7 linked regions of the Macaca fascicularis genome follow. The protein of the gene in region 5 interacts with the protein of the main gene of each other region in a biochemical or structural test. Links are inferred from orthologs where the notes say so. Each region holds a gene or a part of one and is shown on either strand. Other genes may lie near its edges. The genes, in order: TRIM28, DNMT1, POLI, REV1, PCNA, POLH and RFC1.

Region 1 (4,527 bases), on a different chromosome or scaffold from region 5:
ACTCAGGAAGCAGACTAAGTTGGGGCCTCATTTCCTGCCCATTCTGTGACACTGGGCCATTTATTGGGAAGATGTAGAGGGTGTGGCCAGCGAAGAACACAGGCCTGCAAGCCCAATTCCTTGCTCCCAGAAACCTCTGCCCCAACATAGCTGAGAAACACATCCCTTTCTTCTAGCTTCTAGAGGTGACACAAAGGTAAAGGTAAGGACAGCCTCCGGAAAAAGAGGACTACCCCCCCACACACACTGTTCCCTTTATTCTCCAAGTGGACATATTCAGAATTCTGCCTACAAACCACCCTGGACTCCTTTTCTTCTCCTTTCATGGTTAACTTCCTCCCTCTTTCGTGACAAGAAAACACCAGGGTCTCTTACAACCCAAGAGCCCAGAGAAAACCTGTAGAGGTTCTCATACTGGGAGAGATAAAATGTCAAACTAGGACCCTCAGAATGGTGGTCACACCCCCTCTAGACCAGGAGCTTGGTGCTCAGCATAATTCCACCCCAAGACCAACACATTAATAACCTTCAAAGCCTGCTTCCCCATTAGAAAACCGATTAAGCATAGTGGTCCAACATACCAACCAAATCCAAAATACGTAGCATCAGGGCTCACTGGGGAAACTGACTTCCCCAGTGCCACCATTCCTGCACCCTGACCTTTGCTTGGGACGTCTGGAATGTAGGACACCCTGCAGCCCCTGCCTATCCCTCCTGGCTCCTCAGGCCCCACAGCCGCCACTTTCCCACTATCTTCCACCAATGCTGGCCTCTGGGATGGGAAGAATCACGGTATGGCTACCAAAAGGCCACTCATGGGAGGATTTTGGCCCAAAAACTGGGCTACACTCAAAAGACTCTCAAGCTCCTTTCCAAATCAAAGCTAGCGAGTGTCTGCGAAAAGCTGGAAATGCCAAACCAAACTCCGGGTAAGTCTCTGCCAACTCAAAAGCTAAAACGTTTCCAGAAATCACCATCACTTATAACCCATGGACCCACAAAGTCTCATTTTCCCTAACAGCGTCTTATACCAGATGTGTGCCAGGGAACCACAAACCCAGTAAGCCCTTCACACCATGCCTTTCCCTGTTTGCATATTCTGAGCCCTTCAACACCAGGACTGAGAACTCCCTGATAAGCTTCCTCAAACCCTCTGTACCTCCCTGCAGCACATTAAGGTCTCCACGTCTCCCCTTCCCACCCCCTCCCACCTAAGCCCTAGAGACTACACACCACAACCACAATTTTCCTGCTTTTGGAGTTCTGCTCTCCGGCCCTTCGGGCGGCACCCCCTGGACAACTCTAGGACCCATCCACCAAATGCAACCAACATTATAAAAGCAACTGAGGGCACACACGGGAAAGCAACAGCCCCCTCAGCCTCACGTACCAGTAGAGCGCACAGTGTGATCCTTGGTGTACTTCACCCGCTGGTGCGCCTCTACACAGGTCTCACACAGAGGCTCCGAGCACTCCACACAGTAGCTGGTAGCTGGGGCATTATCCTCACAGCTAGTGCAGCACTGCCAGACAAAGGCAGGGTCAGAGAAAGCAAGACAACTTGCTAGATCCACATCTACACCTCAGAAAATACAACCCAAGATTAAGATTGGTCCCTTGACCCAGCCTAGACAGCCCACCCAGAGCCTTGGGAAAGTCGAGTAACAGCCTGGGAGCTGGTGTCAAGCTCCTCCTGGGCAGATGCCCCCTCCCCAGAAACCTCCCTGTGGTTGCTGCGGTTGGACGCACCTGGTTAGCATCCTGGGCGTCGGTGGCAGCCTTGCTGCCACTATCACGCATGAAATAATTCTCCACGATGTCTTTGGAGAAGCACTGTTGCTTGCACACGGGACAGTCCACCACTTCAAGAGGCAGGGATGTGGGAGACTGTTACAAGTTCCCACCCAAGTTATGGCCCCCCGCATCCCCGTGCTGGGTGGGCCCCCGACCATTACCCCGCAGCGAGCCAGCCCCTCCCCTCCCCGAGCCCTTTCTCCAACTTTAGTCAGATGTCTCATCTCAGCGGCCAGCTCAAACCCACGTTCCTATGCAGGACCCAGAAAGTACTCCCCGTGCACTGTCCGGGCCCCCATCCTCTTGCCCAGGTGGCATCCTCATCTCTGCACCCAGTGGGAATCAAAGGCAGAGAGTAGGGGGAGGGGTGGCCCCGATCACTTCGTACTTACCGGCGCCGTCGCCCGCAGCCCCGCCGTCCCCGGAGCTGTTGGCGGCGGCGGGCGCCGCGGGCCCTAGGCAGGCACTACAGGCCGAGTGCAAACAGGGCAGCAGGCGGGGCTCCCTCTCGGGTCGCAGGCGCTCTCTGCACACGCCGCAGTGCTCCAGCAGCTCCAGCGCCTCGGCGCCGCCCCCCGCGGGCGACGACACCGAGGCCGAGGCCGAGGCCGAGGCCGCGGTCGAAGAAGCGGTGGAGCGCTTTTCGCCGCCAGCGGAGCTCTCGCCCGGGCCCGGGCTGCCAGAGGCGGCCGAGGCCGCTGCTGCCGAGGCTGCCGCCGCCGAGGCCGCCATTCACACGCCGCCGGGGGCGCCCAGGGGGGAGGAGGGGCGCGGGGCCCGCCGCGCAGGCGCAGACGCGCTCGCCGCCAACTGCTGGGCCGCCGCCGCCGCCGCGAGGCCGAGCACCGCCACGCGCCTCCTGGGCCGCTGCCCGCCGCGCGCGGGACGCTGCTGCGGCACCGCCAACTGCTGCCTGCTCGCCTCCCGAAGGCGCCGCCCGCGCTTCTTCCTCAGCCGCCGCCGAAACCCTCACCACGCGCCACAAGCACAAGCACAACCGCTCGCCCGCGCGCCCGCTCGCAGAAAGAGCCGAGGCCGGGGGGCGGGACAGAAATAACTGGCGCCGACGCCGCCGCGCACGCGCATTGGGCGCCGCACGCCCGGGGGCGGGGCCCAGGCCGGTCGGGGCGGGAGAGGCTGCCAGTACGCACGCGCCCACTCCGGGTCCTTCCACCACGGCCAACCCCACGTCGGTGGGGTCTTGTGGGGGCGGGGCGGTCCCTCTGTGACGTCACTGCCGCAATTTAATCCGCCAGTGGGGTGTGCGCACCTTTATAGAGTGTGATTCCCCTCTCAGCTCCACCTCCAGACCACACCGAAGCGGGCCGCTGTGCGCCCAAGCGCATGGGCAGTCCGTAACTCTTCCTCAACCCGCGTCTTTTCGCTCGCGTAGAGTCGTCTCCAGCCTCTGCGTCACTAAGCGTTCGGGATAGGGGGCAGGGCCAATGGAGAAGTAGGCGGGGCCAAGACGGAGTAAAGGGCTGTGCCCCGGGAGAGGGGAGGACAGGCTCCATCCCAGGAGGGAGGAAGCGCCTGTGTGAGAGCAGGGGCTGACTTTTGAATTTTAACCACGTTATAGTTAAACTTGAGAAACACAGAAAGTTGCCTAAATCAAATGTAGATCACAGACGGGCGCCGTGGCTCATACCTGTAATCCCACCATTTTCTTAGGCGAATCGGGAGGCTCCGTTTAGCCCAGGAGGCCGGGGCAGCAGTGAGCCGGGATTGTGCCACTGCACGCCAGCCTAGACAACAGATCGAAAAAAATGTGGCCGGGCGCGGCGGCTCACGCCTTTAATCCCAGCACTTTGGGAGGTCGAGGCGGGTCGATCACCTGAGGTCGGGAGTTCGAGACCAGCCTGGGCAACATGGTGAAACCCCGTCTCTACTAAAAATACAAAAATTAGCCGGGCGTGGTGGCGGGCGCCTGTACTCCCAGCTACTCGGGAGGCTGAGGCAGGAGAATCGCTTGAACCCGGAAGGCGAAGGTTGTAGTGAGCCGAGATCGTGCCATTGCACTACAGCCTGGGAGAAAAGAGCGAAACTCCATCTCAAAAGAAGAAATCTTTTTGTGTTTGTTTTGAGACGGAGTTTTGCTCTGTTGCCCAGGCTGGAGTGCAGTGGCGCGATCTCGGCTCACTGCAACCTCTGCCTCCCGGGTTCAAGCAATTATCCTGCCTCAGCCTCCTGAGTAGCTGGGATTACAGACATCCGCCTCCACACGCCCGACTATTTTTTGTATTTTTAGTAGAGACTGACTTTCACCACTTTGGCCAGGCTGGTCTCCAACTCCCCACCTCAGGTGATCAACCCGCCTCGACCTCCCAAAGAGCTGGAATTACAGGTGTCAGCCACCACGCCGGCCCCCCTACCGCCCGCCGCAAAAACACACACACAAACTATAAATCACAAGAGGCTACAGAGCAATGAGTCTATGAAATCCCATCCAGCCCCCCAGGCGTCCCGTCCGCATGATTTAGTCAGTGGCTACCCTGACTTTGATGCTTTTCCAGATGGGGAAACTGAACCTCAACAGTGGGGAATCCCCAGGAGGGAAGGAAGCGGGTCCGTGTGGGGAGAATCCTGTCTGAGGAGGAAAGTAGGGTTTGTGTGGGGAGAATCCTGTCTGAGGGAAACAGGGTCTGTGTGGGGAGGTGAACCCTGTCTGAGGAGGGAAGCGGATCTGTGTGGGAAGAATCCTATCTGAGGAGGGCAGCAGGGTCCGTGTGGGGA
Region 2 (3,787 bases), on a different chromosome or scaffold from region 5:
CTGCCTCCCAAAGCTCTAAGAGCCACTGTCCCCTGTCCCAAGCCTATACCCCATCCCGTAACTGCAGCCTCATCACTGTCCTCTCTTCCAGCCGGCAAAGCCTGCGACCCCGCAGCCAGGCAGTTCAACACCCTCATCCCCTGGTGCCTGCCCCACACCGGGAACCGGCACAACCACTGGGCTGGCCTCTATGGAAGGCTCGAGTGGGACGGCTTCTTCAGCACAACCGTCACCAACCCCGAGCCCATGGGCAAGCAGGTAGGTGGGGAGGGGGTGTCCAAGGGCCTGTGTCAGGCCCTGTACTTGGAGGCCCAACTGGGTGGAGGTGTGGGCTTAGCCAACTGGAGGACAGCACCCCAGGACCCCAGGCACCTGGCCTCCTCTGCCTCCTGCCCACTCCGTGTCCATGGGACAGGCTCGTAGGCCAAGGCCACGGCCGGACGCTGCCAGGTTGCCATTTCCCTCCCTGTCCCCCACGGTGACCTGGCCTGGGTGCTACTACCCTCACCCACTGCGCCTCTTGCCCCAGGGCCGCGTGCTCCACCCCGAGCAGCACCGCGTGGTGAGCGTGCGGGAGTGCGCCCGCTCCCAGGGCTTCCCCGACACCTACCGGCTCTTCGGCAACATCCTGGACAAGCACCGGCAGGTCAGTGGGGCAGCGCCCACTGGGTCTGGACAGGAAGGAGGCTTCTGTGCCTGTCATTGGGTGGGACTGGGGCCAGCACAGTCACTTCCGAGAGGACACCTGTTGGCTGCCGGGTAGCCCCAGCACTCGCAGTAGGACGATGGCCCACAGGAGGGACAGGGCTGAGACATCCGAGTCAGGTTGTATCTCTACGCTGGTTCCTTACTGTTTGTCTTTGAGTCAGAGACTGAGCCAGAAGGACAGTCCGTCACACTAAGGGAGCAGGCTAAAACCCACGGTGGCGACCGCTCACTCGCTGTAGGTTCAAATGAACTAGCACCTTAATTCCTACCTGCTTCTCAGGTGTCAGCTGACTTGACGAGTTAGTCTATGAGTTAGTCTTAGTTAAGTGTATTTTCATCAACACAGGGCACATGCATAGCTTAAAAACCAGTGTCCAGGGTTCTTGTGAAAACCATGTTTCACCCCTCCCGCCGAATCTGGTTCTCAGGAAGCAGTCCCTTTTTTTTTTTTTTTTTTTTTTTTTAAATAAGATGAAGCTTTGCTCTTTCGCCCATGCTGGAGTGAAGTGGCATGATCTCAGCTCACCACAACCTACACCCCCCTGGTTTCAAGTGATTCTCCTGCCTCAGACTCCCGAGTAGCTGGGATTACAGTTGTGTGCCAACACACCGGGCTAATTTTTGTATTTTTAGTAGAGACGGGGTTTCACCATGTTGGCCAGGCTGGTCCCGAACTCTTGACCTCAGGTGATCCGCCTGCCTCAGCCTCCCAAAGTGCTGGGATTATAGGCATGCGCCTCTGCGCCGGCCAGGGAAGCAGCCACTCTTAGCTGGGAGCGAAACGTGTCTAGGTAGCCCATTTGTCTTTTTTTTTTTTCCTGAGACAGTCTCACTCTGTCACCCAGGCTGGAGTGCAGTGACATCATCTCTGCTCACTGCAACCTCCACCTCCCGGGTTCAAGCCATTCTGCTGTCTCAGCCTCCTGAGTAGCTGGGATTACAGACATGTGCCACCATGCCCAGCTAGTTTTTGTACTTTTAGTAGACGAGGTTTCGCCATGTTGGCCAGGCTGGTCTTGAACTCCTGGCCTCAACTAATCCACCTGCCTTGGCTTCCCAAAGTGCTGGGATTACAGGCGTGAGCCACCGCACCCAGCCCCATGTGTCTTTGTCTCAAGTCTTTCTGAAGCTCTTCAAAGGCCCAGTGAACTATGGCTGTGGGGTGGGACGATGGGCCAGTTGGAGGATCCAAGGACCTTGTGCTGGAAGGGCTTTGGGCCCATGTGAGCAGGACCAGAACCCCTCCCCAAGGGGCGCAATGCCCAGGGTGTCCTCCGTCTGAGCAGGGGCGGCAGTACACCTGACCCCGGGCCTCGGGCCTGGCCATCCACATCAGGCATTGCCCTTCTCCCCTCCCGCAGGTGGGCAATGCTGTGCCGCCGCCCCTGGCCAAAGCCATTGGCTTGGAGATCAAGCTCTGTATGTTGGCCAAAGCCCGAGAGAGTGCCTCAGGTATGGTGGGGTGGGCTGGGCTTCCTTTGGGGCCTGAGCGCCCTCTGGGGGTACATGCAGGGGCAGCTGCGGGCCACCGCTCTGGACTCTGGGCCTCATGTGGGTCACCCATCTTTCTGAAGGGGCTGCTGTGAGGACTGAGTTGCACGTGTCGAGTGCTTAGAGCAGGCACGCTGCACACAGCAGGCCTTTGGTCAGGTTGGCTGCTGGGCTGGCCCTGGGGCCATTTCCCTCACTCCTGTTCAGTGAGTCTGGCTCAGCAGGCACCTGCCTCAGCTGTTCACTCGAGCCTCTGGGTCTAGAACCCCCTGGGACCTTTTGAGGAGTGTTCAGTCTCCATGAATGTTCCTTTAGCACTCTGCCGCTTACTGGGTCAGCTGTTACATCAGTACGTTAACATTTCCTGATGGTCCATGTCTGTTCCTCACCTGTCATGTAGCGTGATACCGTGCGTGTTCCCCAGAGTGACTTCTCCTTTTATTTCCCTTCAGCTAAAATAAAGGAGGAGGAAGCTGCTAAGGACTAGTTCTGCCCTCCCGTCACCCCTGTTTCTGGCACCAGGAATCCCCAACATGCACTGATGTTGTGTTTTTAACATGTCAATCTGTCCGTTCACATGTGTGGTACATGGTGTTTGTGGCCTTGGCTGTCATGAAGCTGTTGTGTGAGGTTCGCTTATCAACTAATGATTTAGTGATCAAATTGTGCAGTACTTTGTGCATTCTGGATTTTAAAAGTTTTTTATTATGCATTATATCAAATCTACCACTGTATGAGTGGAAATTAAGACTTTATGTAGTTTTTATATGTTGTAATATTTCTTCAAATAAATCTCTCCTATAAACCACCCTGGGTGGGGACTCGTGATTTGCACGGGGCTTCTGGCTGAGGCCAGACAGGAACAAGCTCCTCCACACTGAAGGCGACCCACATGGAGTTTGAAGCTAGCACATGTTTGAAGCTAGACACTCCGTGTGTCTGTTTGTTCAGAACTGAGTCACATGAGTTGATCCCCATGACATGCAAATGGAACTTGCTAGTGTAGCTTCCAGGAAAGCCTTTTAACGGAAGTCTTGGCTAGCCTTCCCCATGGCTGGTAGCCCTTCTTTGGTCTGGAGTAGGTTGTGATGCCTGGCAGTAGAGCAGCCATCCTGTGACCATGAGGCAGAGCTCTGTGCAGCGACTGGTGGAACAAGGAGAGAGAAGTCACCACTGAGCTGCCCTTGGAGCTCCGGCCTCCCTATCCCGAAGCAAAACCCCTTCTTTAGTTGGGTTTTTTTCTTTTTTCTTTTTTTTTTTTTTTTGAGACAGGGTCTTGCTCTGTTGCTCAGACTGTAGTGTAGTGGGGCAGTCTTGGTTCAGTGTAACCTCTGCCTCCTGGATTCAAGAAATTGTCTTGCCTCAGCCTCCTGAGCAGCTGGGATTGCAGCCGCCCATCACCACGCCCAGCTAATTTTTGTACTTTTAGTAGAGATGATGTTTCACCATGTTGGCCAGGCTGGTCTTGAAATCCTGATATGATCCGCCCACCTGGGCCTCCTAAAGTGCTGTGTTACAGGTGTGACCCACTGCACCCAGCCTCCCATTAGCTTTTTTTTTTTTTTTTTTTTTTTTTTTTTTTTAGAGA
Region 3 (3,798 bases), on a different chromosome or scaffold from region 5:
AGTCTTTAATCCATCTTGAGTTAAATTTTGTGTAAGGTGTAAGGAAGGGATCCAGTTTTAGCTTTCTACATAAGGCTAGCCAGTTTTCCCAGCACCATTTATTATATAGGGAATCCTTTCTCCATTTCTTGTTTTTGTCAGGTTTGTCAAAGATCATCAGATAGTTGTAGATGTGTGGTTATTTCTGAGGCCTCTGTTCTGTTCCATTGGTCTATACATCTGTTTTGGTACCAGCACCATGCTGTTTTGGTTACTGTAGCCTTGCAGTATAATTTGAAGTAAGGTAGTGTGATGCCTCCAGCTTTGTTCTTTTTGCTTAGGATTGTGTTGGCTATGTGGGCTTTTTTGGTTCCATATGAAATTTAAAGTATTTTTTTCCAATTCTGTGAAGAAAGTCAGTGGTAGCTTGATGGGGATAGCACTAAATCTATAAATTACTTTGGGCAGTATGGGAAAATGGCCTAAATATTTTAAGTCCTTTCCAACCCATACACTTATCCACTGGCAGAGGCAGACAGCTTCCAGACTGTAGTGTTTGAGCAGAACCTTTGCCAAACATTGGCTAACCATGAAACTATACAGACATGGGCAACTTCCCAGAAGTCCATATTAAAATAAAAATTTGAATTAAAAAAAAAAAAAAAAAAAAAGAACACTGAGCAGAGAAATCAGTGGCTACAGAACCCAGGGGAGGTAGATTCTGCAGATTACGTTCAGACAAGTTACCTAAAAAAAAGTACAGGAAAGAAAAAAAAAACCCTACAAGAAAAAATTTTAAATCCACAGTTGCTACAATACATTATCTATGAGGTCTAGTTTTCAATAAAATAGTTCAAAACATGCAAAGAAACAGGAAAGTGTGATACATATTTGGGGGAAAAAGCAGTTAACATAAATTGACTTTGAGGTGGACTTAGCAAAGACTTCAAATTCATTATTATAGATATATCCAAAGAATTAAAGACAACCATGTTTAAAGAATTAAAGCAAAATATAATGAGTACAAAAAAAGGAGAATCTCGATAAAGAAACAAAACCAAACATAAAAACAAAAGACAAACAGAAATTCTAGAGTTAAAAAGCACAGTAACCAAAACCAACAAATCACTACAGGGGCAATGGCAGTTATGAGATACAGATGAATCAGAGACCTTAAAGGCAGCTCAATACAGATTATCTACTTTGTAAGAAAGAACAGAAAAAAAAGATTGCAGAAAAATAAACAGAGCAGCAGAGACCATCATAGGGTGGAATCGGTGTAAGGATAAACATATAGACCAATGAAACAAGAAAGTCAGGAAATAAACTCTTACATTTATGGTCAATTAATTTTTGACAAAGATGCCATGGTAATTCAGTGGGTGAAGAAAAATCTTCAACAAATGATGCAGGAACAACTGGATACCCACATGCAAAGCAAAGAATTAAGTCCCTTACCATATACCACACATAAAAAATTAACTCAAAATGGACATAAACATAAAGCTTAAAAACTATAAAACTTCTAAAAGAAAACAGAATATGTGACCTCTGAGTTAGGCAAAGAATTTTTACATATAACACCAAAAACACTATCCATAAAAGAAAAACCACACTACTATATACCGCTAGAACAACTATAATCGAAGAGACTGACAATACAAATATTGGCAAAAATATGAAAAACTGGAACCTTCATATATTGTTGATGAAAATGTAAATTATTACATGAACTTTGGAAAAAGTTGGCAGTTTCTTAAACAGTTCATGTTCCCATATGATCCAGCAATTCCACTCCTTAAAATCTACCCAAGATAAAGGAAAACATATGCATATGCCCATCCAATGACTTGCACTTAAATGTTCTTCAAAATGGAAACAATCTAAATGCCCATAAAGACTCATGCTATCAGTTATCACAGTTTTGTTCTCTTTGAACTTGGAAAACATTCTTAAATGACTCTTATCTATTTAAAAACCAGGCCAGGTCCAGTGGTTCATGCCCATAATCCGAGCACTGTGGGAGGCTGAGGCAGAAAGATTGCTTGAGCTCAGGAGTTTGAGACCTTGTCTATCCTAAATGTCAAAAAAAGTTAGCCAGGTCTGGTAGCATGCACCTACGGTCCCAGCTACCCGGGAGGCTGGGGTAGAAGAATTGTTTGAGCCGGGGAGACGAAGGCTGCAGTGAGCTATCACAGCACCACTGCACTTCAGCCTTCGTGCAGAGCAAGACCCTGTCTCAAAAAATAAATAAATAAACAAACAAACAAACAACAAAGTTTTCTGGTGAAAATTCCTGATAGAATAAAAGCATTTAATTGCTTGCTAATTCCCTGTGAAGACCCTCCATTTTTGGAGCATATTTCTAGTTCAAAGTTGGCTTGTTTAAGAGTTCAACCTGCTAATGAAACTGTTGGAAAACTAGTCCATACCTGTCCCTAACTTCTGAATTATATGTGATGGAATAGGGCACTGACGACTCTCACGACCACAGTGCTTCTCAGAGGGATATCGACGGATTATTAATCTTACTGTATGAGGCTTCCTTCCATCTTGGCATACTCTAAAAATAAAGAGAAAGTGGAAATAAGGAATTAGAAAAGTATTACCTTTTTAAATTATATAACACCTCATTTATCTAAAGGTGCCAGATTTTGTTAAATATAACAATTATACATATAGTAGATAACAAAATAGTAAGCAATAAAGGTCCCTGAGTATCCAAATAATCATCACAAAGTCTATGCACTAAAACTCTGAATGTTTAGATGTCAAGCTCTCAGGCCTCACTCAGAATTGAGTGCTGTCAGAAATAGAAGAGATATAAGATATAATCAAAACAAGTTGTTTTATAATACAAATTCAAAACAAAACTAAAAGCAACCAATTTTTTTTTTCAAGATGGAATCTCGCTCTGTTGCCCAGGCTGGAGTGTAGTGGCACAATCTCAGCTCACTGCAACCTCCAATTCCCAGGTTCAAGCAGTTTTCCTGCCTCAACCTCCTGAGTAGCTTGGACTACAGGCACGTGTGACCACACCTGGCTAATTTTTGTATTTTTAGTAGAGAGGTGGTTTTGCCATGTTGGCCAGGCTGCTCTCGAACTCCTGACCTCAGGTGATCCCCCACCTCAGCCTCCCAAAATGCTGGGATTACAGACGTAAGTCACCACACCTAGCCAAAAGGCAGCAAATTAAAATCAGCAGGAAATTTAAGAAACTGAATCATTCACTAACAAAAGCAAGTAAGTGAAAAATAACAAAATAACTTTTTTCAAACTTTTTTCTTATGAGATTACCAAAAAAAAGATTTTTTTTTTTACAAAATGAGATTACTCTTGTTAAAGAGTAATCACTATTACCATTATATGATAGCTTATTAGAGCAATATCTTCAAAGATCATATGCTATATTTAGTATATAATTAATATACAATATGTGCACATGCATTTTTAAAAAGAGTTTCATCCAATTGTCTTGGTTTTGGTATTGAAACAAAGGTTTTAATTATATGACAAATTCACTTAAGAAGTACAAAACCTAATTAATGGAAAAAAAGTCATTAAAGGATAACATTTCCCCTTTTATACACATGGCAACGCATATAAAACCAAATCTCAGACATAAAATGCAAATATTGCATATTGTTAAACACACTCAACTTGAAGACTCTGATCTGAAAAAAACAGTTTTGGGCCAGGCACGGTGGCTTATACCTGTAATCTCAACACTTTGGGAAGTTCAGGTAGGAGGATCACTTGAGCCCAGGAGTTCAAGACCAGCCTGGGCAACATAGCGAGACCTCATCTACAAAAATTTAA
Region 4 (3,798 bases), on a different chromosome or scaffold from region 5:
TTCCAGATCCACAGCAGTCCGAAATACTACGAAGAGAAAATACATAAAATAGCCTCTTCAGATCATCGGGCAGGGCCTTTAATCCCTGATTTCCTCTGTCCATTACAAATAAAAAAACTTTATTATTGATACATCATAATGAAGAATATAATTTTTTTAAATCACATAAAGCTGTGTCAAGTTTAAAACCAACTGCCGTCTTTCCAAGGACATAAGCAGCACCTAAACGAGAACCCCACTGATGACCACCAACCTTCTTTGTGCTCCTCTTCTGTGGATTTCTTAGCTTTCTGAACTTGGAAGATATCACGGACAGAGTATGACCCACCAGGAAAGTGGCTCGACTGAACTGATGGGCGACTGGGACATGTGGAAGGGTTCAGATTAGTTGGAACCAACTGATTCACGTGAATCCCAACCTAGAACCCAGAATAAAGAGTATGCTTCCAGGAAAACTAAAGTAAAATATGAATTCAGCTAAGCAAAATCCTCAGCAAATCCTTTTCACTACCTCCTAGATCCTGTTTCTAGAATAAAGGTAAATGAAAGTATTCAAACAACAGCATTCTATATGAGTTATTACAAAAACAGTTTCTAGACTAGCTAGTGAGTGGTCATTCATCTCAAACTTCAGAGTATCCAATTCTCCCAAAATATACCAAAACGTCTTTAAAATCAGAAAATCCAAACAAGTGGAATACTGTATTTCACTGATGTTCTGGTCAACTAAGGTTTTAAATTAGGATAAAAAAAAAATTAAGAGAGGACAGGCTACTTGGAAACTTAACTATTTTTATCTTTTTAAAATGAAATACTTCTCAAAAAATACTGGTGGGACTGGTGAACAGCAGGCACACCACAGACCCCTCTATAAAGTGCCACTGTAACAGTATTTCAGGGAGAAATTACAATTATGGCCGGCTTAGTGACTAATCCTTCAACAAAGTCCACAATCAAGCCAGAACAACCCTTAACTTACACACGCACACAATAAACTAAACCTACAAAGGTTCTTTTTTTTTTTTTCCTCTTTTGAGACACAGCCTCATTGTGTCACCCAGGCTGGAGTGCAATGGCATGATCTTGGCTCATGCAAGCTCTGTCTCTTGGGTTCAAGTGATTCTCCTGCCTCAGCCTCCCGAGTAGATGGGACTATAACAGCATGTACCACAACACCCGGCTAATTTTTGTATTTTTAGTAGAGATGGGGGCCAGACACAGTGGCTCATGCCTGTAATCCCAACACTTTGAGAGGCCGAAGCGGGCGGATCACCTGAGGTCAGGAGTTTGAGACCAGCCTGGCCAACATGGTGAAACTTCGTCTCTAAAAATACAAAAGGGCGTGGTAGCGGGTGCCTGTACCCACAGCTACTCGGGAGACTGAGGAAGGAGAACTGCTTGAACCCAGGAGGTGGAGGTTGCAGTGAGCTGAGATCGCGTCACTGTACTCCAGCCTGGGCAACAGGGCAAAAACTCCGTCTCAAAAAAAAAAAAAAAAAAACCCACACAAAAAATCTATGGTTTTGACATTTTGATGCCTCTTGCCTGTTTCAAAGGCATCTTGTTGTGCCTGTGGTTTCACTCCCTTCTAGGTCATCATATGGCAGACAGCAGAGTATGTTTCTGATTAAAAAGGAACTTAAAGGCACAAAATTTATGTATTCATACTCCTCAGTCATATCTACTTCTAGGAAACAAGAACAGGGAGGACATGTATATTAGCCCCTGGTTAATTAGGGATACCTTGGAAAAGCACAGTAAGAATCTGAGAAAATTATTCTAAAATGAAGAAGATCAAAATGGAGAAAGTCAAGAATTTTTGTTTCTCTTTTCCTTATATCACAAAGCAGCTAAAGACCTACATATAAAGTCCCTATATGCCAGCAATAACCATTCTGAGAGCAAGCCTCAAATGACACAAAAATTACAGAAAGTCAGAATTTACAATGTTACTATACACTTACCCCTCTCATGTCTGATATATTTAGTTTCATTGTATGAAACATGTTTAGCATCGCCTTTCCAATTATTTTTGCATTATCTGTTGCCTGGTCAAGAGTTACAGTCCTGTAAGTGATAGAATTATACAACAAAAGCTTCATTCCATATGTATTCACTAGTACTAAAGTAGTATGGAACGGTTTAAAAGAGTTACAGAAAAGTTGTAAACAGTTACAAAGATTATAAAAGTGAATGCCACAGTCCCCCTTCCAGGAAGCCAGAAATACCAAATTAGTTACACTGGCAAAGAAGGGGGAAAGGAAAATTATGGAACACTGGAACTTCAAGGTAATAACGATAACGGACACCTGGGTCAACTACAAATCAGTTGAGAAATTTAGAAAAAGGCATAATTTAGCTAACACATGCACAAATGAATACATATTTTCCAGCTAAAGCACAAATGAATGGTAAACACAATGTTCTTGATTCCAAGAGAAGTTTTAGGTTCCAAGATTATGTATGCTGAGGTACAGCAAATATTCAGAAGAGAAAGATGAATTCTCGGTATGTTGTTTCTTGACTCTCCTTCGTGTTTACAGTAAAGCCAATAAACAATTCTTAGATCTTTAAGAACTCTTGAGAGAGGACCAAATGATCCGTCAGCATTACTTGGTCCCAAAGATGTGATGACCTCACCCACCATTTCCTTCAGAGCTGTTTGAGCTTCTCTGGCATGAGCAGGGTGTCCCATTACAAACAGAATTACTCACTCAGTAACAGATCACAAATTACTACCAGTTCTCTTTCCAAAGGAAAGTTATTTCGTGTTTTAGATTAATGAACAAATGAAGTTCCAGGCCTTTAAACAAGAAATAGTCCCAGAAAAAAAATACTATAAATTGAATCTGATTTTCCCATAGAAATGTTTAAGAAGACAATCGCATTACTTCATCTGCTTATAGAAATGACCACTAAAAACTGGGCACAGTGGCTTACACCTGTAATCCCAAAACGTTGGGAGGTCAAGGCAAAAGGATTGTTCAAGGCCAGGCCTGGGCAACAGGGCAAGATCCTATCTCTACATAAATAAGTTTTTAAATAAATAAATGACCACTATTTACTATTTGAGATACATGTATATATCGTAACACTTCAGTAAATATAATTCAAGATAACCAACTGATAAAAAATGTATTTCATAAATCATGTTGTCTAATTGTAATTTGTAATTCCTGCTTTCATGGTAACTTGGGAGTTTCTCTGTTTAAGAGCCGTCATCTCATGACTTAGCAATATCATCATATACATGAATGCACCATGTATGGTTGGCATGAGCTAATCTTCAATGAAACTGTACTTCATAGTTCCTTATAAGTAGCTTTCAAAAGTGTCAAAAGCCTCAAAACTTTGGTTTCACAGATGACATACAGTCTAACATAAAATGACACATAAAACCACATATCTTCATATTGGTCACAAATCTTTCATGAAGTTTAATATTAAGTAGTTGGCCCTGACATAAAAAACGAGGGTTTCAGTCCAGGTACATTGGCTCACACCTGTAATCCGAACACTATGGAAAGCTGAGGTGGGCGGATCATTTGAAGTCAAGAGTTGAAGATCAGCCTTGCCAACATAGTGAAACCCTATGTCTACTGAAAATACAAAAATTCGCTGGGCATGGTGGCATGCCCCGTAATCCCAGCTACCCAAGAGGCTGAGACAGGAGGATCGCTTGAACCCAGGAGGCGGAAGTTGCAGTGAGATCAGATCGCGCCACTGCCCTCAGGCCTGGGTGACAGAGTCAGAATCCATCTCAACAGAAACAAAAACAAAAAAACCCAGGTTTTTAAA
Region 5 (4,321 bases):
CCTGTGTGGGCTTGATCCATAAACCATTGTTCTGTGGTATGTACACGTGCTGAATTTGTATTCCCTTCTTGCAAATATAATTCTAAATTGGATGACACTTACAAATCAGTTGCAGATTTCAACAGTATCTCAATTTTCAGAAATTACTTGGGATCCAATTCTGTCTACTTTTAATTTTAGCAATTAACCTAATAAGCAGTATTACAATTCTCTTCAAACTATTTTTTTTACTTAAAAACTACTTACAGCTTCCTCCTCTTTATCGACATTACTTGTCTGTGACAATTTAATGTTTCCATTTCCAAGTTCTCCACTTGCAGAAAATTTCACGCCGTCTTTTGCACAGGAAATTACAACAGCATCTCCAATATGGCTGAGATCTCGGCATATACGTGCAAATTCACCAGAAGGCATCTTTACTACACAGCTGTACTCTTGTTCCTATTAAGAACAAAAATTTTCCAAAAGTTAATTGTTAGAAATTTAATGATTTGGCACCCTCACTTTCTTAAAAGGCAACATCTAAACAACTCAGAATCAAGATTTTCTGATTACTGACTCGTGTAATTTCTTAACAAACTCCACTCAAAAAAAATAAATGGCTATTAAATGCACTGCCCAGGGAACAAGCGCCTCCTCCTCCTCATCCTCCAGGGATAAAGTAAGAGAACATTAGAGTATGCCACAGAAATGATGACGGCGCAAGCAGGTCTAACTATTTTCTAAAAGAAAACGAGAGAATATGATATTAGGCATTTTCAACATTCCAACATTTCTTCTCTCCTTTGGTGTTTATAAACCTAACCTGGATACATTTCTTCTAAGATAGCTTTCAAACCCACTTAATAAAAACCAAGCATCGGGCCGGGCGCGGTGGCTCAAGCCTGTAATCCCAGCACTTTGGAAGGCCGAGACAGGCGGATCACAAGGTCAGGAGATCGAGACCATCCTGGCTAACCTGGTGAAACCCCGTCTCTACTAAAAAATACAAAAAAAAAAAAAAAAAAAAAAACTAGCCGGGCGAGGTGGTGGGCGCCTGTAGTCCCAGCTACTCGGGAAGCTGAGGCAGGAGAATGGCGTAAACCTGGGTGGCGGAGCTTGCAGTGAGCTGAGATCTGGCCACAGCACTCCAGCCTGGGCGACAGAGCGATACTCCGCCTCAAAAACAAAACAAAACAAAACAAAACCAACCATCCTAGAAGGAAGCAAATTTTAAAAGAGGTTCATGGAAATTAATGCAAATAGACAACTGGCAGTAAACAATAAATTTAACCAGTGAGTTTTAGACTTGTGGTAAACAACTATCCAAATACTAAAATCTCTTTAAAACATGCACCAGTAGATATGTTTCTAGAAAAAGTTCTGTTATGAAGTAGGCTTAAATTATATTAACTTATCTTGACGGAGGAGGATCATTGAGGCCAGGAGTTCCAGACCAGCCTGGGCAAGACTGCCCCCACACCCACACACAAAAATAAAAAAATTAGCCAGGCGTGGTGGGACAGATCTGTAGTCCTTCCTAGCCACTTAGGAGACTAAGTGGATTGCTTGAGCCCAGGAGTCCCAGGTTACAGTGAGCTATATGGCACCACTGCACTCCAGCCTGGGGAAAAGAGGAAGACCCTGTCTGTAAAAATAAACAACATTCTATGACATAACTATCATGCCTGTGTACAGCAGTCGCTACAATCAGAAACTGATACTCACTGGAATTCCAAGTTGTTCAACATCCAAATCCATCAACTTCATTTCATAGTCTGAAACTTTCTCCTGGTCTACCAAAAAAAAGCAAATGCTGTTGAGAAACACTGGCACAGAGTTTCGATCTTCTGTAGCTTCATAACTCAGTAAAAAGGTACGACTTACTGGGTGCTTCAAATACTAGCGCCAAGGTATCCGCATTATCTTCAGCCCTTAGTGTAATGATATCTTCATTGCCGGCGCATTTTAGTATTTTGGACATACTAGAAGACAGGAGACACATGGTTTAAAATCAACACCATCTACTGAAGGTCTGTATTTCTAATGCAGTTAGAAGGGGTTACCACTCTCACCCATAGGCCGTCTCAGAACTGGTGGAGGGTAATTGCACTGCTGGAGGATGCGAATATTAATGCAGACATTTTGGGATGCATCTGGCAGTATTTATACTAAAATACCACCAGCAGTTTCCCTTCTGGATAGAAACAATCTCCTGCCACTAAGTAGGATGACAGGCTGACACTTTTCTCGCAAGGGCACATTATAAAGCATTTAAAGTCAATCGCGACTGAGCCGGGAGGATCGCCTGAGCCCAGAAGTTGGAGACCAGCCCGGGCCAACACATCGAGACCGTCTCGGAAACAAAAAAGCCACAACTAAAGCGTCCATTCAAGGCCAACAGGATTTAGTGAGCAAAAGCTCTGGAGCAGTGTTCCTGGCACTGCAGAAAAACCAGTCATTTTCCCGCCACCACCCGCTTTGTGACTTTGGCGCGAAAAAGCAGGTTCGCGCAGCAGCCAGCGCGGGCTTTTCCGAACCGCGCGCTCAGCTGGGCCCCACCCCCCTGCATGGCAGGCCAATGAGAAGGTGCGGATGGTCCACGCCAGCCAATGAGGGCTCGGCTCGGAAGCGATCCCGCCAAACCCCGGAGGTGGGGGTGGGCCGGGGCCGGTTTCTCGGCGCCGCGAGGCTCACCTGGTGAGGTTCACGCCCATAGCCAGGTTGCGGTCGCAGCGGTAGGTGTCGAAGCCCTCAGACCGCAGGGTGAGCTGCACCAAGGAGACGTGGGACGAGTCCATGCTCTGCAGATTTACGCCGCTGGAGCTAATATCCCAGCAGGCCTCGTTGATGAGGTCCTTGAGGGCCTCCAACACCTTCTTCAGGATGGAGCCCTGGACCAGGCGCGCCTCGAACATGGTGGCGGAGTGGCAGCAACGCGGCTACAGGCAGGCGGGAAGGAGGAAAGTCTAGCCGGTTTCCGCTTCAGGAGCCTCAGAGCGAGCGGGCGAACGTCGTGACGAGAAGCTGAGACCTAGAAACAGAACTACCAGTCTGCTACGCCTGCAACCGTTTAATGCCGCCGCGTCCGCCAGCGCGCGCTCTTACCCTGCGCCGCGTTGCGACGTCACCACGCTGCCCGGCCCACAGCCTGGGCGGGTTAGAATTTAGGGCCAATCGTGCCGATGCTCCCCGCGAGGCCCGCCCCCTAGGACATACATTGGAGGAAGCGGGTGCAGGGCGGGGCAGCGTCCCGCAGGTCTCCCCGCCTCTTCGCCTGACTCCTGAACCTGACCACTGAACAAGTCCGGGCATATGTGGGGATCCGGCCCAGGCCCCGGTTCGTCAAGCCCCAGCTTTATGGTGCCTCCTCAGCCTCCAGCTCCGTGGGTAGAAAGTTTCCAGCCACGAAAGTGAAAGTGAAAAGCAAATCCAGCCTACCGGGAGGAAAAGCCTCCTTGTAGCCTGAAGAGTACAGCTGCTGCAAATATGCACTTTATTTTTCAATTACAGAAGTGATGCGCTCCTAAGTGTCACACCATAAAGAGTTATGTTAAACTTAGCTCCCTCTCACCTCTTAACATTCCACTGCCAGCTCTTATAATCACTCAATCGTTCCTTGTATAAAGCTTTTAAAGCTTTTTTGAAAGTTCGAATACACTTTTTTTTTTCAAAATGCACTCATTCCGTAAACACTTCGAAAAAGTACTTAATAAAGTACATTTAATTTTATGCCACGTACATCTTTTTTATATCAGTACCTCTTTAAAAGATAGCATCACATGTATGTAACTTATCAATCTCCTGTTAATTACAAACACCTTTGAGCACTTAGGCAATTTTGGTGCTATCAACTCCTTGAAGTAATACAGCTGAGTCAAAGAGCGTACACATTTAATTTTTTTTCTTTTCTTTTCTTTCTTTCTTTTTTTTTGAGATGGAGTCCTGCTCTGTCATTCAGGCTGGAGTGCAGTGGCGCGATCTCGGCTCACTGCAACCTCCGCCTCCCAGGTTCAAATGATTCTCCTGCCTCAGCCTCCCAAGTAGCTGGGATTACAGGCGCCTACCACCGCGCCCGACTAATTTTTTTTTTTTTTTTTTTTTTTTTTTTTTTAGTAGAGACGGGGTTTCACCATGTTGGCCAGGCTGGTCTCAAACTCCCGACCTCAGGTGATCACCCGCCTCAGCCTCCCAAAGTGCTGGGATTACAGGCATGTGCCACCATGCCCGGCTAAATTTTTGATAAATGTTACTAAATCTCTAAAAGTTTGCAATTTACATTCTAGCCAAGACTGTGTATGAACATGCTCATTTATCTTTATTTTCCTAACTACAGATATTA
Region 6 (3,798 bases), on a different chromosome or scaffold from region 5:
AGCTGGGACTACGGGCGCCCACCACCACACCAGGCTAATTTTTTTGTATTTTTAATAGAGACGGGGTTTCACCATGTTAGCCAGGATGGTCTCAATCTCCTGACCTCGTGATTCACCTGCCTCAGCCTCCCAAAGTGCTGGGATTACAGGCATGAGCCACTGCGCCTGGCCAGCAAATTTTTTTTTTTTTTTTTTTAAGACGGAGTCTCACTCTGTCGCCCAGGCTGGAGTGTAGTGGCACGATCTCGGCTCACTGCAAGCTCCGCCTCCCAGGTTCACGCCATTCTCCTGCCTCAGCCTCCTGAGTAGCTGGGACTACAGGCGCCCGCCACCTCGCCCGGCTAGTTTTTTGTATTTTTTTAGTAGAGACGGGGTTTCACCGTGTTAGCCAGGATGGTCTCAATCTCCTGACCTCATGATCCGCCCGTCTCGGCCTCCCAAAGTGCTGGGATTACAGGCTTGAGCCACCGCGCCCGGCCTATTTTTAAACATTAGATGATATGAGTTGTTGAGAATATGGGGGAAACAGGAACTTTTATGTACTCCTAGGAGGAATGTAAACTGTTACAGTAGGACATTAGAAGCAATCAATGAATTTGTCACCAGGGAAAATGGTCTGTAAACATGGTGGGTCCATATCATGGATTATGCTGCAAGTAACAGCCATCGAAGCCAGCAATTACAAATAAATACAGCCACATGGAGAGATCTCTAAGGTCACTACTGAGGGAAAATTAAGAAAAAGAATGAGATCTATTAATAGCACAAAATCATCTTGTAATTAAAAAGCACATATACAAAGCAATACTGGGTAACTTATAAAGATATAGGCCGGGTGCGGTGGCTTACGCCTGTAATCCCAGCACTTTGGGAGGCCGAGGCGGGTGGATCATTTGAGGTCAGGAGTTCGAGATCTGCCTGGTCAACATGATGAAACTCCGTCTCTATGAAAAATACAAAAATTAGCCGGGCTTGGCGGTACATGCCTATAATCCCAAATACTCCGGAGGCTGAGGCAGGAGAACTGCTTGAACCGTGCAGGCGGAGGTTGCAGTGAGCTGAGATCGTGCCACTGCACTCCAGCCAGGGCGAGAGTGACGTTCCATCTCAAAATAGAGAAGAGAAGAGAAGAGATATATACACATCTAAGATATATCAAGTATATCAGTGGGTACAAGAGGGTGAGGGGGGTACAGAGGGAGTGGGAAAATCACTATGAAGGGTAAAAGTAGCAAAATACAATGAGAAGGGCCTTGTGCAGCCCATGTAATAATGTGCTATGAAGTGAGTAGAAATTTTGAATCACTCAACTCCCTATACCTGAGGTCCCCCTTTAAAAAGCTCACCCTTCTTATATATTAGTTAACCAAGACACTAAGTTACAATAATAAAAATTAAGCCACCAATGACAAAGTGCTTAGTCAGCCTTCTAGTGATTTTTTTGTTTTTTGAGATGGAGTCTCCCTCTGTAGCCTAGGCTGGAGTGCAGTGGTGAGATCTCAGCTCACCGTAACCTCTGCCTCCTGGGTCCTGGTTCAAGCAATTCTCCTGCCTCAGCCTCCTGAGTAGCAGATTACAGGCACGCACCACCATGCCCAGCTAATTTTTGCATTTTAGTAGAGATGGGGTTTCACCATGCTGCCAGGTTGGTCTTGAACTCCTGACCTCATGATCCACCCACTTCAGCCTCCCAAAGTGCTGGGGTTACAGGCGTGAACCACCGCGCCAGGCCTCTGCCTTCTACTGATAACACTAACCTGCCCTAGTTACATCTAAAAGAGAAATTTACTTTCATACAGATTTCACAGCTTCTCAACAGCCATATACCTGGAAAGATAAGAAAATTTGTATATGCTTCCATGTAAGTCCTTGTGATTCATTCAGGCTGTAGTTTAAGTTTCCTTTCAATTATTCCATGGAGAATCAGCATGACCAAGCAAAGCAGGTTCCAAAGGCAGGAAGCAGAAGCAATATGATGTTATGGAAGTACCTTTCTGAACAGTCTCTTCTGCTGTTGTAGGGCCTTGGGGCAACCCTTCAATGTAAGTGCTTGGCAACAAGTCTGCTGAGATAGGCTGACCTTGTAGCTTTTGTAGTCTCTCTTGTACAGAACTGGTCAGATCTACGTAAGCCTCATCAATGCTGGCACGTTCAATCACAGCAAAACGCGACATTATCTCCATCACTTCAACACTGGCTTCCCGGTACCTAAGAAGTGTAAGGATCATTCATGCAGGCAATAAACAGAGGCAACCTTGAGATTGTCTGCTCCACTCCCACCCTGCCATAATGAACAATAATATACATAATCAAGAGACATGTGGCTTAACAGAGACTAGAAAGTAGTAACTGAAAGGGTCAACAGGCAGGCAGATGGTCAATAATAGAAGCATGGAAAAGGAAGAACCACGGAGGCAAATATTTTTAGCACAATGCCAGAACTACCAAGGTAGAAAGCATTCAGACTATGAACACGTCTATATGACAAGGAACTCTATAAAAAATAAAGAAATGCCTCACATTTGTGTATTACTGTGATCACCTATTCTTTTTATTTTCATATATCCACCAAGAAATCTTCTGCTTCTAATTTTGTCTCAAAAAAAAAAAAAAGGGTGATTTACATGGAACACTGCACTGATCAGTGAACCAGAGCATATGGTCTTCCCCAGGATAATATTTCTCACCATAAATTAACAAACTGGCATATGGATTTTATACTTCAGTCAACGGTGAGTTTGGTTAACATGTAAACTGGTCATCACCACATACACACACATGCCTTAACCAACCATTTATGGATATACTAATATTCAAATTATCAAACCGAAGATAAGCACCTAGAATGTGGTGATATGTCTGGGTGGGCAGACAACCGTCCTCAGGGTATACATACCAATCTCACCATATGTCTTCTATTCAAACTTTAATAAGCAGCTCTTCTGCCTGTATAGCTAGTTTTCTGTGACAATATACAGATATTTTGTTCTTTTCTTTTTTTTTTGAGATGAAGTCTCGCTCCTGTCCCCCATGCTGGAGTGCAATAGCGGGATCTGGCCCCACTGCAACCACTGCCTCCTGGGTTCAAGCGATTCTCCTGCCTCAGCCTCCCAAGTAGCTGGGATTACAGGCGCCTGCCACCATGCCCGGCTAATTTTTTAATATTTTTAGTAGAGATGGGGTTTCACCATGTTGGCCAGGCTGATCTCAAATTCCTGACCTCAGGTGATCCTCCCATCTTGGCCTCCCAAAGTGCTGGGATTACAGGCATGAGCCACCGCACCCGGCCACTATACAGATATTTTCTTTGCTTTGGTTTGGACCTGCTTTGTAGTGTCCAGTTCTTTGTTCCTATTGAATTTACATTTACCATAAAAATGAAAACACTGGTACCTCTTCACCATGACACCCATAAAAACCAGTATAATCATTGTTCTAAAACATTCTCAAATTAGAGAAACACTTGACTTTTTTTTTTTTTTTTTAATCATTATTTGAGCCAGGAAGAAGACAGGCCTCAAAGAAAATAAAGAGCAAGACCAAGCACGGCGGCTCACACCTGTAATCCCAGCACTTTGGAAGGCAGAGGTGGGTGGATCACCTGAGGTCAGGAGTTCAAGACCAGCCTGACCAACATGGAGAAACCCCGTTTCTACTAAAAATACAAAATTAGCTGGCATGGTGGCATATGACTGTAATCCCAGATATTCGGGAGGCTGAGGCAGGAGAATCACTTGAACCCAAGAGGCGGAGGTTGTAGTGAGTCGAGATCCCACCATTGGACCCTAGCCTGGGCAA
Region 7 (3,798 bases), on a different chromosome or scaffold from region 5:
AACTGGGTTTTCCCCAAATCTAAGAAAATTGCAGAGTGTTCCCACAAAATCAAAAAGTGATCCACACGGGCCAGAGGAAGGTTTAGGGAAACAGTCTCTGGTCTGCTAAGAACTAGAATGTTATCATAAAATGACTTTCTTTCTCTCTTAAATGTTGTCACTTCTTAAAGACAGAAAGCTACTGAACAAAACAATATTTCAAATGCCACCATCCTAAATCTTTCCAACCCAGCTGCCTCTATCTTCAAACCAGGCAATTATATGCATACATATTTTTATTTATTTATTTATTTATTTATTTATTTATTTATTTATTTTCAGACAAAGTCTTGCTCTTGTTGCCCAGGCTGGAGTGCAGTGGCACAATTTCAGCTCACTGCAACCTCCGCCTTCTAGGTTCAGGAGGCTCTCCTGCCTTTAGCCTCCCGAGTAGCTGGGATTACAGGCGCCCGCTACCACAACCAGCTACTTTTTTTTGTATTTTTAGTAGAGACAGGGTTTCACCATGTTACCCAGGCTGGTCTCAAACTCCTGACAGGCGATCCGCCCGCCTTGGCCTCCCAAAGTGCTGGGATTACAGACGTAAGCCACTGCGCCCAGTCTGTATACATATTTTAAACAAGCAACCTCAAAAGCTGTTGGTATCAGAACCAGCATCAGAAGCAGAAAGAAATGATTCTTTACAAATTATCTATGGGTCCTGCTCCTGCCTTCAAGGAACTGAATGTGTGAACCACAAGAAGCCACAGCTTTTCTCCTGATCAGAAATCTAGACTCACCCTCGCAACTATTACCTAGACAAAGAGTTTTTAACACTCTCCTATTTCAATTTCATCCATTTCCTCTACATTGTCTTCCATAATTAAGCACGCTAGTACTTAAAGGAAGTAGTGTGGGTCCCTGAACCACAGTACCCCCAAAAATCATGAAACCATTTCCAAAATTGTTCTCCTACAATGTTTACAGTATCATCATTTTCTAGTAGACTCATAGAAAAGTCAAAGATACCATTTAGGGTACCTAAAGCAAGGGTTCTTAACCTCAGGAATCTGTAATTCCCCAAAAGTGTTTTCTTTGTGGATCTATGCATTGTCGGGGGAATAAAAATCTCAAAAGCACCTATGACCCCCAAAAAGGTTACGAACCAATAATAAGATCACACTTGCATTTTTTAAAGAAGAGAAACAGACCTACAAAAAAGTTCAGTGACTTGATCAGGGTTAAAAAGTAGGGAGGTCTTAATTTACTTTACAAATTGTGAATTCACTATAATGCAGAGATCACACTACTGCATTCCAGCCTGGGTGACAGAGTGTGACCCTGTCTCAAAAAAGAAGAAGAATCCATAATATTTATGTGTACGCACATTTTCCAAGTTTCTAAAGTTCAACAAAATTGTACCAAATGCAAGTATTTTTTAACTTCCTTAAACTTTTTCAAGCACGTTCGTTTTCAGTGATGTGAGCAGCCTCCTCCTGTTGCATGCTAAACTGTTATTTCCAATCCCACATGACTAGGTCAGTTTACTACTAGAGAAAATTGGTAAAAAACAGTTTGTTTCTTTAAATAGTTCAATTATTTTCCAATTAATTATTCTGAAGCTGGGAAGCTATTCCCACTAGTAATAGACATAATAACAATAACAGTGCCATCTCAGACTTCTGTAGTCTTTAAAATTTTAAATTATGACATCTACCATTTTATTCTCCAAAGTATCCTTTTAAGTGGTAAAACAAGAGTTATACTGATTATACATGATAAAACTCAGCCCATAAAATATAAGGAACTTATCCAGGATCATTCATCTAGTTAGCAATAAAATAAAAACTAAAACACAAATCTTTTGACTCACATGATTGTTACTGGATAAAGGCCAAATACATCAAATCGATAAAATACCCGAAACAGAGTAATCCCACCTACCTGAGACTCATATGCAAGGCCAGGTCCTGAACAATACGATCGTGTTTGCCTGTAGACGAGTGCTTCCCCAGCCAGCTCGGGAAGGTGGGAAACTGGGTCATGAACCCTCTCATCAACTCTCCAGGAAGAACACTGGCATAAATGGCCTGAAAAAAATCAATTGCAGTCCAGAATTTATGTTTGGTACAAAGTTACTTCCTTAACAGTCATTGGCTTCCGAACAGTCTATGGAAGATAAAGCAACACTGTCCCAAATACCTACCTACGGGCCAGTCAGATGCTTTCTCTAACTCTGATCTGTTGGTACGGGAAACTTCTCCCAAAGAAAACAACAGACTGTGGTACACACCTTGATCCTAGGTGTTATGGCTCACAGGGAGATCATCTCGCCAACTCAGCCTCCTCAAGCAACTAATCTCAACAGACCAGTTACCTCACAACGTCACAGCAAATAATTACTTAAGAGGGATATGATGGTCTTTAACATAAATGATTGACAGCATAGGCAGATTAAAGCATAGAAAGACGAATGATTAGAGTCCATTAAACTGGCACTTGAGAAAAGTTTTTTAAAAATGTATCCTTAGATGTCTTCTATGTCTAGTGTGTTCACTTTCTTAAAGACTGGAATTATAGTCTACATAAATTTTGTATACTACTTATTCTAGTAATTCCCTCACAAGCATTTTTTCCTATTAGACAATCTTTGCAAATAGTTTTAAAGGCTATAAATACTTCCTCAAGAGAATTCATCATCATCATTCTCCTGCTGCTAGACCTGGAGATTTTCTCTTTTTGTTATCAGAACACTTTTGGAAGTATTTTTGTACATTAAGGTTTTCCTGTGTTAAAACATTATGCCTTTGAGGTACAATTATTAAGTAAACAAAACTAAACACATAAAATATAAAAGAAAATATTTTGGGCCAGGTGCAGTGGCTCATGCCAGTAACCCCAGCACTTTGGGAGATGGGCAGACAACTTGCGCCCAGGAGTTCAAGACCAGTCCGGCCAACATGGTGAAACCCCGCCTCAACAAAAATAACAAAAATTAGCTGGCATGGTGGCGCACACCTATAGTCCCAGCTACTTGCAGGGCTGAGGCGGGAGGATTGCTTGAGCCCAGGAGGTCAGGGCTGCAGTGAGCCGTGATCACACCACTGCACTGCAGTCTAGGTGACAGAGTGAGACCTTGTCTCAAAAATAAAAATAAAAAGTTCTGTGTCTCCAGAATGAAATTTTGTTTCTTGTTTTCAAGCAATGTGTGGGTAGAATCAAGAAAAGCATTAGGCCTTCTGGAAGTGTCTTGCTTATTTTATTACTCAGGCCAATAATCCTGTATAACTATACAAAAGTCAAAAAGAACAAATAACTCTCTTAATTACAAATGTCTACCAAATTCTGTTTTGAGTTAAAGATCTCAACCTAAATACAGTACCCAATATAAAACTGCTTTTTTAGCAAGGAAGACGAAAATCTGAATGAATGCCTCAGAGATGCGGCTGCTGGCCTGCCCTAGCTGCACTGCTTCTAGGAGCCGCTACTCAGTGACCACCTGGGAGAGCCAAGAGTGACCAAAAATAAAAAAACAAGGATTCTTAAGTTAAAACGCAGCAAATAAAACTTCTGATTCACATCTTACAACCAAAATCTAACATTCCTATTTCTATGTATCCATTTACATTAAAATTTTTTGAAATATAGATAAATAAGGCCAGATTGGGCTGAGCGCAGTGGCTCATGCCTGTAATCCCAGCACTTTGGGAGGTCGAGGCAGGCAGATCACAAGGTCAGGAGATCGAGACCATCCTGGCTAACACGGTGAAACCCCGTCGATACCAAAAATACAAAAAATTAGCTGAGCATTGCGGCAGG

Evidence for each region.
Region 1: the proteins of PCNA (region 5) and TRIM28 form a complex in vitro, tested with the Homo sapiens proteins (2 studies listed by BioGRID, with this or other methods). The link is inferred for Macaca fascicularis from reciprocal best matches to the Homo sapiens genes PCNA and TRIM28.
Region 2: the proteins of PCNA (region 5) and DNMT1 form a complex in vitro, tested with the Homo sapiens proteins (3 studies listed by BioGRID, with this or other methods). The link is inferred for Macaca fascicularis from reciprocal best matches to the Homo sapiens genes PCNA and DNMT1.
Region 3: the proteins of PCNA (region 5) and POLI form a complex in vitro, tested with the Homo sapiens proteins (4 studies listed by BioGRID, with this or other methods). The link is inferred for Macaca fascicularis from reciprocal best matches to the Homo sapiens genes PCNA and POLI.
Region 4: the proteins of PCNA (region 5) and REV1 form a complex in vitro, tested with the Homo sapiens proteins (2 studies listed by BioGRID, with this or other methods). The link is inferred for Macaca fascicularis from reciprocal best matches to the Homo sapiens genes PCNA and REV1.
Region 6: the proteins of PCNA (region 5) and POLH form a complex in vitro, tested with the Homo sapiens proteins (7 studies listed by BioGRID). The link is inferred for Macaca fascicularis from reciprocal best matches to the Homo sapiens genes PCNA and POLH.
Region 7: the proteins of PCNA (region 5) and RFC1 form a complex in vitro, tested with the Homo sapiens proteins (5 studies listed by BioGRID, with this or other methods). The link is inferred for Macaca fascicularis from reciprocal best matches to the Homo sapiens genes PCNA and RFC1.

Annotation. Positions count from the first base shown.
Region 1 is NC_088393.1:66,277,284-66,281,810, reverse strand, and holds the start of TRIM28 (transcription intermediary factor 1-beta), read right to left. Parts: upstream 2,822-4,527; 5' UTR 2,527-2,821; coding exon 2,187-2,526; intron 1,863-2,186; coding exon 1,750-1,862; intron 1,524-1,749; coding exon 1,391-1,523; intron 1-1,390. UniProt on the Homo sapiens protein: Nuclear corepressor for KRAB domain-containing zinc finger proteins (KRAB-ZFPs).
Region 2 is NC_088393.1:10,680,152-10,683,938, reverse strand, and holds the end of DNMT1 (DNA (cytosine-5)-methyltransferase 1), read left to right. Parts: intron 1-91; coding exon 92-258; intron 259-529; coding exon 530-646; intron 647-2,069; coding exon 2,070-2,160; intron 2,161-2,651; coding exon 2,652-2,686; 3' UTR 2,687-3,007; downstream 3,008-3,787. UniProt on the Homo sapiens protein: Methylates CpG residues. Preferentially methylates hemimethylated DNA. Associates with DNA replication sites in S phase maintaining the methylation pattern in the newly synthesized strand, that is essential for epigenetic inheritance.
Region 3 is NC_088392.1:35,312,821-35,316,618, forward strand, and holds part of POLI (DNA polymerase iota), read right to left. Parts: intron 2,543-3,798; coding exon 2,412-2,542; intron 1-2,411. UniProt on the Homo sapiens protein: Error-prone DNA polymerase specifically involved in DNA repair. Plays an important role in translesion synthesis, where the normal high-fidelity DNA polymerases cannot proceed and DNA synthesis stalls. Favors Hoogsteen base-pairing in the active site.
Region 4 is NC_088387.1:3,902,740-3,906,537, forward strand, and holds part of REV1 (DNA repair protein REV1), read right to left. Parts: intron 2,068-3,798; coding exon 1,965-2,067; intron 420-1,964; coding exon 254-419; intron 27-253; coding exon 1-26. UniProt on the Homo sapiens protein: Deoxycytidyl transferase involved in DNA repair. Transfers a dCMP residue from dCTP to the 3'-end of a DNA primer in a template-dependent reaction.
Region 5 is NC_088384.1:82,160,850-82,165,170, reverse strand, and holds the start of PCNA (proliferating cell nuclear antigen), read right to left. Parts: upstream 3,058-4,321; 5' UTR 2,898-3,057; coding exon 2,677-2,897; intron 1,965-2,676; coding exon 1,867-1,964; intron 1,776-1,866; coding exon 1,708-1,775; intron 442-1,707; coding exon 247-441; intron 1-246. UniProt on the Homo sapiens protein: Auxiliary protein of DNA polymerase delta and epsilon, is involved in the control of eukaryotic DNA replication by increasing the polymerase's processibility during elongation of the leading strand.
Region 6 is NC_088378.1:127,933,656-127,937,453, forward strand, and holds part of POLH (DNA polymerase eta), read right to left. Parts: intron 2,209-3,798; coding exon 1,991-2,208; exon of another isoform or gene 1,862-1,990; coding exon of another isoform or gene 1,828-1,861; intron 1-1,827. UniProt on the Homo sapiens protein: DNA polymerase specifically involved in the DNA repair by translesion synthesis (TLS). Due to low processivity on both damaged and normal DNA, cooperates with the heterotetrameric (REV3L, REV7, POLD2 and POLD3) POLZ complex for complete bypass of DNA lesions.
Region 7 is NC_088379.1:38,580,062-38,583,859, forward strand, and holds part of RFC1 (replication factor C subunit 1), read right to left. Parts: intron 2,070-3,798; coding exon 1,924-2,069; intron 1-1,923. UniProt on the Homo sapiens protein: Subunit of the replication factor C (RFC) complex which acts during elongation of primed DNA templates by DNA polymerases delta and epsilon, and is necessary for ATP-dependent loading of proliferating cell nuclear antigen (PCNA) onto primed DNA.